Linked DNA regions of Rattus norvegicus. The protein of the gene in region 1 binds, or shares a complex with, the protein of each later gene. Links are inferred from orthologs where the notes say so. Each region holds a gene or a part of one and is shown in the gene's direction. Other genes may lie near its edges.

What was found.
Region 2: Smarcd1 (region 1) and Arid2 share a complex: the UniProt entries of both Homo sapiens proteins name them as parts of the SWI/SNF-B (PBAF) chromatin remodeling complex. The link is inferred for Rattus norvegicus from reciprocal best matches to the Homo sapiens genes SMARCD1 and ARID2.

Annotation. Positions count from the first base shown.
Region 1 is NC_086025.1:132,707,215-132,711,426, forward strand, and holds the start of Smarcd1 (SWI/SNF-related matrix-associated actin-dependent regulator of chromatin subfamily D member 1), read left to right. Parts: upstream 1-1,412; 5' UTR 1,413-1,417; coding exon 1,418-1,594; intron 1,595-1,644; exon of another isoform or gene 1,645-1,819; intron 1,820-2,231; coding exon 2,232-2,419; intron 2,420-2,710; coding exon 2,711-2,753; intron 2,754-2,851; coding exon 2,852-2,974; intron 2,975-3,409; coding exon 3,410-3,532; intron 3,533-4,212. UniProt on the Homo sapiens protein: Involved in transcriptional activation and repression of select genes by chromatin remodeling (alteration of DNA-nucleosome topology).
Region 2 is NC_086025.1:129,324,875-129,329,299, forward strand, and holds the start of Arid2 (AT-rich interactive domain-containing protein 2), read left to right. Parts: upstream 1-1,496; 5' UTR 1,497-1,755; coding exon 1,756-1,847; intron 1,848-1,953; coding exon 1,954-2,047; intron 2,048-3,113; coding exon 3,114-3,211; intron 3,212-4,425. UniProt on the Homo sapiens protein: Involved in transcriptional activation and repression of select genes by chromatin remodeling (alteration of DNA-nucleosome topology). Required for the stability of the SWI/SNF chromatin remodeling complex SWI/SNF-B (PBAF).

The DNA of each region.
Region 1 (4,212 bases):
GCTATAGAATCTTTGAAACCTTTTGGTTCCCAAGAGTTGTTTAGAGAACAGAACTCCCCCAGAAGGAAGCAGGGCAAAGCAGGGAAATGGACACTGACTGGGGGGCAGCAGAAGGGGCTCTGGGTGACGCATGCCTCTGGTCTAATAAACTGGGTTTCAACCATCTCTTCAGTGTTGGTTTTCTGTTTGTTGTTTGTTTTGTGTTGAGACAGGGTTTCTCTGTGTAGCCTCGGCTGTCCTGGAACAGCTCTGTAAACCAGGCTGGCCTCGAACTCACAGAGATCCTCCTACCTCCCAAACGCTAGGATTAAAGGTATGAGCTGCCAGCACCCTGCACTCTGGGTGTTAACCTTTAGATCGGAGCTTGCCTTGAGGGCCACACAACTAAAGAAATTTGGGTGGTAGTCTGGTGTGGTGGTTCCACCTCTAATTCCAGCGCATAGGAGATGGAGCAGCTGTTTTCCATCACACAGTGAGTTTAACGCTAGACCAGGCTATTCGAGACCCTACATACTTGATCAGGTAAAAACACTGATCCACCTGGAAAAGAACAAATTCAGGAATCCTCTGTTCCCTAGGCAGTGGACCAGCAAAGTAATCTAAAGCAACAGATATCCGGGTCTCTTTGGAGAAGATTCAAGGTAAAAGAATTCATTAAAATCTGAAGTTAAAGGTCTGAGGTGAAGGGCTAAGTTCCCGTGCCGGGGAGCTGTTAAGCCATTATTTATTTATTTATTTATTTATTTATTTATTTTTTTTTTTTTTTTTTGGAGCTGGGGACCGAACCCAGGGCCTTGCGCTTCCTAGGCAAGCGCTCTACCACTGAGCTAAATCCCCAACCCCTTAAGCCATTATTTATAAGATGAGGCCCTGGCTACCAGCCAGGAGACCCGAATCCAGGATGGCTTTTCTCTTATCTCGATTTGTCTTTGCCACGACATTCACCTCCTTTGAGTTCAGCTTTTCCGTTTGTAAAACGAACAAACAGCCTGTTTCCCTCTTTAGCATCCGGAGTCTGATCCGTAGGAAAACAAAAAGCAAACCAACCAGAATGCTTTGGAGAGGTAAACGCACTGGGCCGAGGTGAAGCATCACTCCAGCCGCCTGCGGGGTGGGCTGGGCTCTTTGCAAGGCCTTGACGTCCTCCAACCGCCCGGGGGCGCTCGCTCCCGGCACTTCTTTATCAGCACACCGCCTCTCTATGGTGCTCCCTCCTGGCCCGTGAAGGCGGGAGGGAGTGGTCAGCACGCCTTTCCCGCTAGTCGCCCCCTCTAGCCCGTAGTCTCGCTGCCCCGAGCCGCCCGTGCCCGCCGGCGGGCCGGGCCCACAAACAGCCCAGGCGCTCGGGGGGCGCGCGGGGGGCGGGGGGAGTTCCGGTTCCGGTTCTTTGTGCAGCTGCAGCGGCGGCTCCGGGAAGATGGCGGCCCGGGCGGGTTTCCAGTCCGTGGCTCCGAGCGGCGGCGCGGGAGCCTCAGGAGGAGCGGGCGTGGCGGCTGCTCTGGGCCCGGGCGGAACTCCCGGGCCTCCCGTGCGAATGGGCCCGGCGCCGGGTCAAGGGCTGTACCGCTCTCCGATGCCCGGGGCGGCCTATCCGGTGAGTGGGACAGGAGGAGGGGCGCGCGGGCCGGGGGCGGGGCCGAGCGAGGGCGGAGGACTGACAGGGGTGAGGGAGAAGTGGGAGGGACTCCCTAGGGAGGGGCTCGGGCCGGGAGTGGAGGTGGGGGAAACTGAGCGGAGGAAGAGTGGGGGGAAGGAGGTTAGCATCCTTACCTGCTCCCAGCGGCATTGTTTCCGTGTGAGGAGCGAGTGTGGAACCAGGGTGGGTGAAGTGGGCCCTGGGATGGGCATGGGATGCAGAGGGGAATGGGCAGCCCCAGTGTCTCCAGGAACACCCAAGCTATTGCAGCAAATTGAGGTCAGCCTTAGAGGAGACAGCAGCTAGTTTAAAAAAAGAAAAAAGTAGGACTAGAAATGTCTGATGAGTCAGATCCAGCATAGATCAGAAAATTCAAGTATAATCTAGTTTTTAGACTATATTCCATTAAATCACTAGTAGGCCTGAAGAAGCTCCAGTTACCATATTTCAAAGAAGCAAAGGATTGTCTTGTCCTCCACTCTACCCACCCCCCAGCCCTACCCCATCCCTGAAATCCAGCCTTCCACCACTTTTCCTTCCTTGGTGGGGCTAGCATGGAAAAATATGACATCTCTTGGTCCTCTCCCTTCTGTAGAGACCAGGTATGCTGCCAGGCAGCCGAATGACACCTCAGGGACCTTCCATGGGACCTCCTGGCTATGGGGGGAACCCTTCAGTCCGACCTGGCCTGGCCCAGTCAGGGATGGACCAATCCCGCAAGAGACCTGCACCTCAACAGATCCAGCAGGTCCAGCAGCAGGCGGTCCAAAATCGAAATCACAAGTAAGATGCCCCCTGGGGTGAAGGAAAGACGGGGATGGGAGGAGGCCTGTGAGGATGCTGATGCTGGGAGTCCCCAGGAAGTCAGGCGCTGCAGTATCAAATGGTGCTGCAGGGACTCACCCTTTTGAAGGCTCTCTGGCCTCGTGATGAAGTGGAGTTTTTGTGGTACTGGGAGATGGAGAGTCATCCCGTAGGCCGTAGTAGCTGTACCATAAATGGAGGTGCTCACAGCGATGCTCATGTTTTGACTAGTTCCTATCCCAACCTGATAACAGTATTTATTCTGAACAGTGCAAAGAAAAAGAAGATGGCTGACAAAATCCTACCTCAGAGGGTGAGTGCAGCAGCTGTAGAGGCCTTCCTGAAGGGGTAGTGGCTTTGAGAATAGAGGTGGTCAGCTCTAGGGCCTGACCCTATCTTTCTGTTCCTAAGATTCGGGAATTGGTACCGGAATCACAGGCCTACATGGATCTCCTGGCTTTTGAAAGGAAACTGGACCAGACTATTATGAGGAAACGCCTGGATATCCAGGAGGCCTTGAAGCGGCCCATCAAGGTACCAGGAGAGTACCAGAGGGTCACAGGAGGGAGCCAGGACGCTCCACCAAGCTTAGGAAGAAAACCCAAAGGCACAGCACATCTCTCTTTGGCATTTAAACTGCATCTTTCCCTTCTGCCTGCAAACCAGGAATTACATCAGGAGCATAGGAGTGGGGCGGCTGGCAAGGAGAGGGGGGGCTTCCCACTCTCTTCAGCAGAAACACACCCTGTCCTTGTTTTTGCTCCTCGCTACCTTGGGAACCTGCCACTTTGCACGACTTTGTCTCCCTGGCACCCTGGCACATTTACTCAGGCCCAAGTCAGGGCCTGTTTGCTCCTCAGTGGAGTCCTTATCCATCTACAAAGCCAGCCTGGTAGGAGTGACCTGGGAGCTTTAGGGAACCTTGTGCTCTTGAAGCCCCACGGTCAATCCTGTTTCTGCCTTCCTCAGCAAAAACGGAAGCTGCGGATTTTCATTTCTAACACATTCAATCCGGCTAAGTCGGATGCCGAGGACGGGGAAGGGACTGTGGCTTCCTGGGAGCTCCGGGTAGAAGGACGGCTCCTGGAGGATGTGAGTTCAGGGTCCATGGTGGTTGGTGCTCAGGGTGGGAGCTGTTGGGAAGGAGCAGTGCTGTGTGGTCAGCAGGAAACCTGACTGGTGTTCACCACTCCTGCTGGGAGCTTCCGGAAGGGGGTTGGGGGTGCTGTGTTCCCTGCCTACAAAGACAATGGTCCTTTGTGCCTACTCTCACAGCTTCTCTGGTATCAAGTGGAAACCTTTGTTGCTCTGGGGTCTGGGTTGTTGTTTACTTTGCCTGGTGATGCTGCCCTTCGGATTTCAGTGCTCACTTATCCCCACCACCATCTGTGCTTAGTGTTTGAGCCCATGTTTCCTCCCTTAGGTCCTTGAGGTTATTTCTGTCTTCCCAGGTTTCATTGGAGGCACCACAGTTTAAGTACGATAGCCCCCCCAAAGGCTTGGCTCTTTGTTGCTCATCAGACTAATGAGCACCCCAGACTCTCCACCCAGCAGCTCATTGGGGAGGCTCGCCGTTCCCTCAGAGCTCTGCACTCTGACACTTTTAAACTGTGTGCAAGTGAGCTCGTCTGATGCACTTTTGCTGGGGAACCGAGCTGCCTCTGGGTAGGTCCAGGCTATTTGCTGGTCATGTGTTCTGTCCAGAGAAAGGCAGGTTTTGTTCCCCTGCCTCTGGCCTGGGATTCATTTGCCCTCTGCTGTCAGGCTTTCCT
Region 2 (4,425 bases), about 3.4 Mb from region 1:
TTTTTCCCTCCCCTCCCCGTCACCCGATAGGTGCTCCCATCGGAAAAGACTACCTGAAATAACCCATCCTGACTCTTACTATCCTGTGACCTTGGGCTAGTGACTTTGCCACCAGTGGCTGTCTCTAAAATGGGAATCCTAATACACCAAAGGGGAAGCATGATGCTCAACCTTTGTAAACCGGGGAGGGTTCCAACACCCGGTCGATACAAATTTAAGTGGTGCTTTTATTCTAGAATAAAAATTTTTATTTCCCTATTTACACATTTAAAAAAAAAGAATCAACACAGAAAACTGAAGGGGTGAAAACATTTTGCCCTCTTTCAGATACGAGTGCAAAAAAAAAAAAAAACCCTCCATAAGCAATGTTATTCTCAAAGTTGGGAGGTTATTTCCCCAACAGGCGCGATGACCGTTTGCATACCTCCTGTTGGGTGCACCAAACCGACCAAAAACGGGAGGACGACTTAAAAGCCTTACTCTATCTCCACTAAAGTAGGGCAGGCAGTTCCCAGCCTATTTGATCCCACAGTTTGTCAAAGTGAGTTTACGGCCCCATCATGGACCATGTGCTCATCGGGCTTCCTTCAAGCATGAAGCCCAGAGGCCGACGCCTCCTGCTAGAAACGTCTCCAGAGGGGGCGAGCGGACTTCTCCGCGACCGCCCGGGCTGCGCCGCCGTGCGAGCCTCCGTGTGGCGGGAGGCCCGGCGGGCGTCCGCCGGGGGACGCGAACATCGCCTCCACCCCTAACCCCGGAACAACCGGTAGTGGCCGTTTCCCCGCGCCGCCCCCCTTTCCGCCCGCTTTGTGTGCGTGTGAAATGTGCTGCACATTGCAGATGAACCCTAAGCCGGGCGAGCCGAGTCTATTGTTCCCCGCGAGGAGCCGCCGCGACCGTGTGGAGCCAGGCGCAGTGCCGCGGCCGGCCCTCGGGGGGCGCTGTGCGGCGCTGGCGGCCCGGCCGTGGCGGCGGCTGAGAAGCAAGGCTGGCGGGCAGGCAGGCCGGCGGGCGGGCGGCGCGCAGCGGCTCGGCTGCCGCCGGAGCCTGTGCCCGGGGACTCCCGGGCCGCCGCCGCCGCCGCCGCGCGTGAATGTGTGCGAGGGCCCCGCGGAGCCGCGGCCCGGATCCACGCTGTCACCCCGCTCTCCACAAGCCACCACACAGACCTCCCCCTCCCCACGCGGCCCCGCCTGCCCCGGCCCCGCCGCGCCGCCGCCGCCGCCGCCGCCGAAACTCCCAGGCCTGCGGCCGCCCGGGCCCCTCGCCTCCGCTCGCCCGGCCCCCGGCCGGCTCGTGCGCCCCCGGCCGCAGCACCATGTTGAATCGCGTCCCCGGGCCGAGCCGCCAGGGCCGGCGGCGCTGAGAGGCGGCCAGAGCCGGGCCGCGGGAGGCGGCGAGGCAGGGTGGGGGCCGCGTTCGCCCCGCGGCTCCGCGCCCGGCCGCCCGTCGCCTGCCCCTCTAGTTTCGCTCCCGTTTCTTTAAACTTTTTTAGAAATTCCCCTCCCTCCGGCCCTGCGCTCCCCCTGGCCTCCCGCTCCCTCCTTCCCCTCCTCCTCGCCTCCTCCCCCTCCCTCCTCCCTCCCTGCGCCGCCGCCGCCGCCGCCGCCGCCGCCGCCGCCACCGCCGGCCCATGACTGAGCCCCGCCACCGCCGGCCGAGGAATGGGCTCCGGGCGCTGGTAGGGAGCGCGGGGAGCGGGGGCCGCGTTTGAACCGCGATCTGGGTTTTCGGGAGACCTCCTTTGGCAAAATAATGGCAAACTCGACGGGGAAGGCGCCTCCGGACGAGCGGAGGAAGGGACTGGCTTTCCTGGACGAGCTGCGGCAGTTCCACCACAGCAGAGGGTGAGAGCAGGACCGGGGGGGCAGCACCGGGGCGAGCCGGGGCGAACGGGGCCCGCGGCGGGCGCGGGGTCCCGGTGACAAGTGCGGGGCTTTCTGTCGCCCGCAGGTCGCCGTTTAAGAAGATCCCTGCGGTGGGTGGGAAGGAGCTGGATCTTCACGGGCTCTACACCAGAGTCACTACTTTAGGCGGATTCGCGAAGGTGAGTGGAAGTTTTAATTTGTATTTCCCTCTCGCTGGCCTGCTCGGAAAAGTCTGCTCCGGCCCGGGAGCCGGCGCCCGGGGCCGGGGGGGCGGTCGGCCGGGCACACGGCGTTCTCGGCGCTCGCAGCCGGTGGCACGGAGGCGGCCGGCGGCGGGGCTGTTTTCGGCCTGGTGGCTCGCGTGCGCGCGGCGGGCGCGGGGCTGGGCGGGCGGTGCGGCCCGGCGGCGGGGAGCGCCCTGCCCGGTGTCCGGCCGGCCCCGCGGGGTCTGAGCGGCGCGGCGGGGAGCGCGGGCGAGCAGAGTGCTCGCCCGCCCGCCGAGCCCCGCGCCCGCCCGCCCCGCGCCCGCCCGCGAGTCAGCGCCGCCGCCGCCGCCGCCGCCGCTGCCGCTCTAGCACAGGCGGAGACACAGAGACACACAGACTCTGAGCAGTTTTCGTGCAACTCAAAATTAGCGCGGGCAGGTTTAACATCGATAATCGGCTGCGAAATGATCCCGGCGGCCGGGGGCACAGCCTCGGCCCGCTCGCCCTGGCTTTCTACAGCTAACAAAAGAAAGCAGGACCTGTCTGCAAATAGCCATCTTAGGCTTCAAGGCTAGGCAGAAGCTGTAGGCCTCAAAGAAGGGCCTATGGAGATGGATAGATCTGGGAGAGGGATCGGAGTCGGCCCCGGCCCCGGCCCCCCCAGAGCCCGCGGACGTCGCTGTCCGGAGCAGTATTGATCCTTTTGAACTTTTTTTTTCTTTAGTGTAAACGGACCGCGTTGAGGTTTAAAAGGGGGCGACAGAGGGACTTGCGATTGGTTATTGTCCGGGCTTCAAAAACAAAACAAACCCACCAACCCCCCCAAAAACAAAACAAGTGCTGCTAAATACAGGGTTTTCTGGTGAAAACACAGTGATTCAAGCAGCCCTGGCTTGGTAACTCTTGTGGCTCGACCCCAGACACCCACTGATCCTTAGGTACCCACAGATCTCTGCAGAAGGGTCATTTAGCTTCCAAGTTAGGGTAGGTTTTTCTTGGATTGGGCACTTTCAGACAAGTGTGCCTGTGTTTTTAACAGGTTTCTGAGAAGAATCAGTGGGGAGAAATTGTTGAAGAGTTCAACTTTCCCAGAAGTTGTTCTAACGCTGCCTTTGCTTTAAAACAGTATTACTTGCGGTGAGTAGTGGCGTCTTTCCCCAGTATTTGCAAACGAGGGACTTCGGGGCAATTAAACAACAAAATCTAAGCTCTAGACAGTTTCCAATCCCTTGTTAATTTCACTCTGAGAAGCATTTGCTGTCAATAAACTGAGATGGTAGGAGTCTGAAGTTTTCCTCAGGTTAAAAATACAGTCGTTTATATTTTTCATACAAAGCCATTACAGGTGACAATCCATATCCTATCTTGTAAACATTCTTTTGTGACATTGTTATTGACTGCTGGGTAGCCACTGAGGGCCAGAAAAGAAGGTGCTTAGTGAAAGACTTGGGATACTTAAGGAAACTTTGTAACCTGTGGGAAGATTTTTTCCCCCCTTCTTTATTTGGAAACCCCTTAACCGCCTACAATTTCATGGGTTTTTATTTTATTTTATTTTTTGTTTGTTTATTTGTTTGTTTAAAGAAAACTTACTGCATGGAACTGTTACTCTGCGTTTAATGGGATATTTTTTCATAAATAATTCAATGTAGATACCTTGGCTGATCAGAATTAACTTTTTGAACTCCTTTGTTATTTATTGAACTTTTGAGCGACTTAAAATTATCCAGTATCTTTAGGAATACGGGGATGGTTTGAGACCAGGTATTATAGTTGGAATTTTCTTTCATTTCCTTATATTTTGACTGCTTACTCCAGAAAGTCAATTTCTTGTTTATACGATCCAGTTAGATAATGTATTTTGTGACTTAGTGGTTTCTTCTTAGATTTTCTCCTATACTTTCATGCTGTACTTTATTTTGAAGGAAACTTTTATTTTTCTTTGATTACCACAGTAACCTTAATTATTTAAAATGAAAATAATGATCTTAATATTTCTAATGAATGTTGGTAATGGTGACATTACAAGATAGCCTGTTTTATATTTGCAATGTAGCTTCTGCATAATTTTAGTTTCATATTGCTTTAAATGCACTAGTCACTCTGTATAGCGCTTAGGATTCTGAAATAGGAAACAGGGTAATTGCACAGGTGGACTTCCTATTGGCTGCCTTAGATTGACTTCAGACTTCTTGCTGAAGAGTTCACAGAACTTGGCAGTTAGTGAGTTCCATAGGAACTCTAGAATATACCAAGGGTGAGAGAGTGTGTGTGTGTGTGTGTGTGTGTGTGTGTGTGTGTGTGATAGCATATGTGTCAGAATACCTTTTTAAATAAAAGAATAAAAAAAA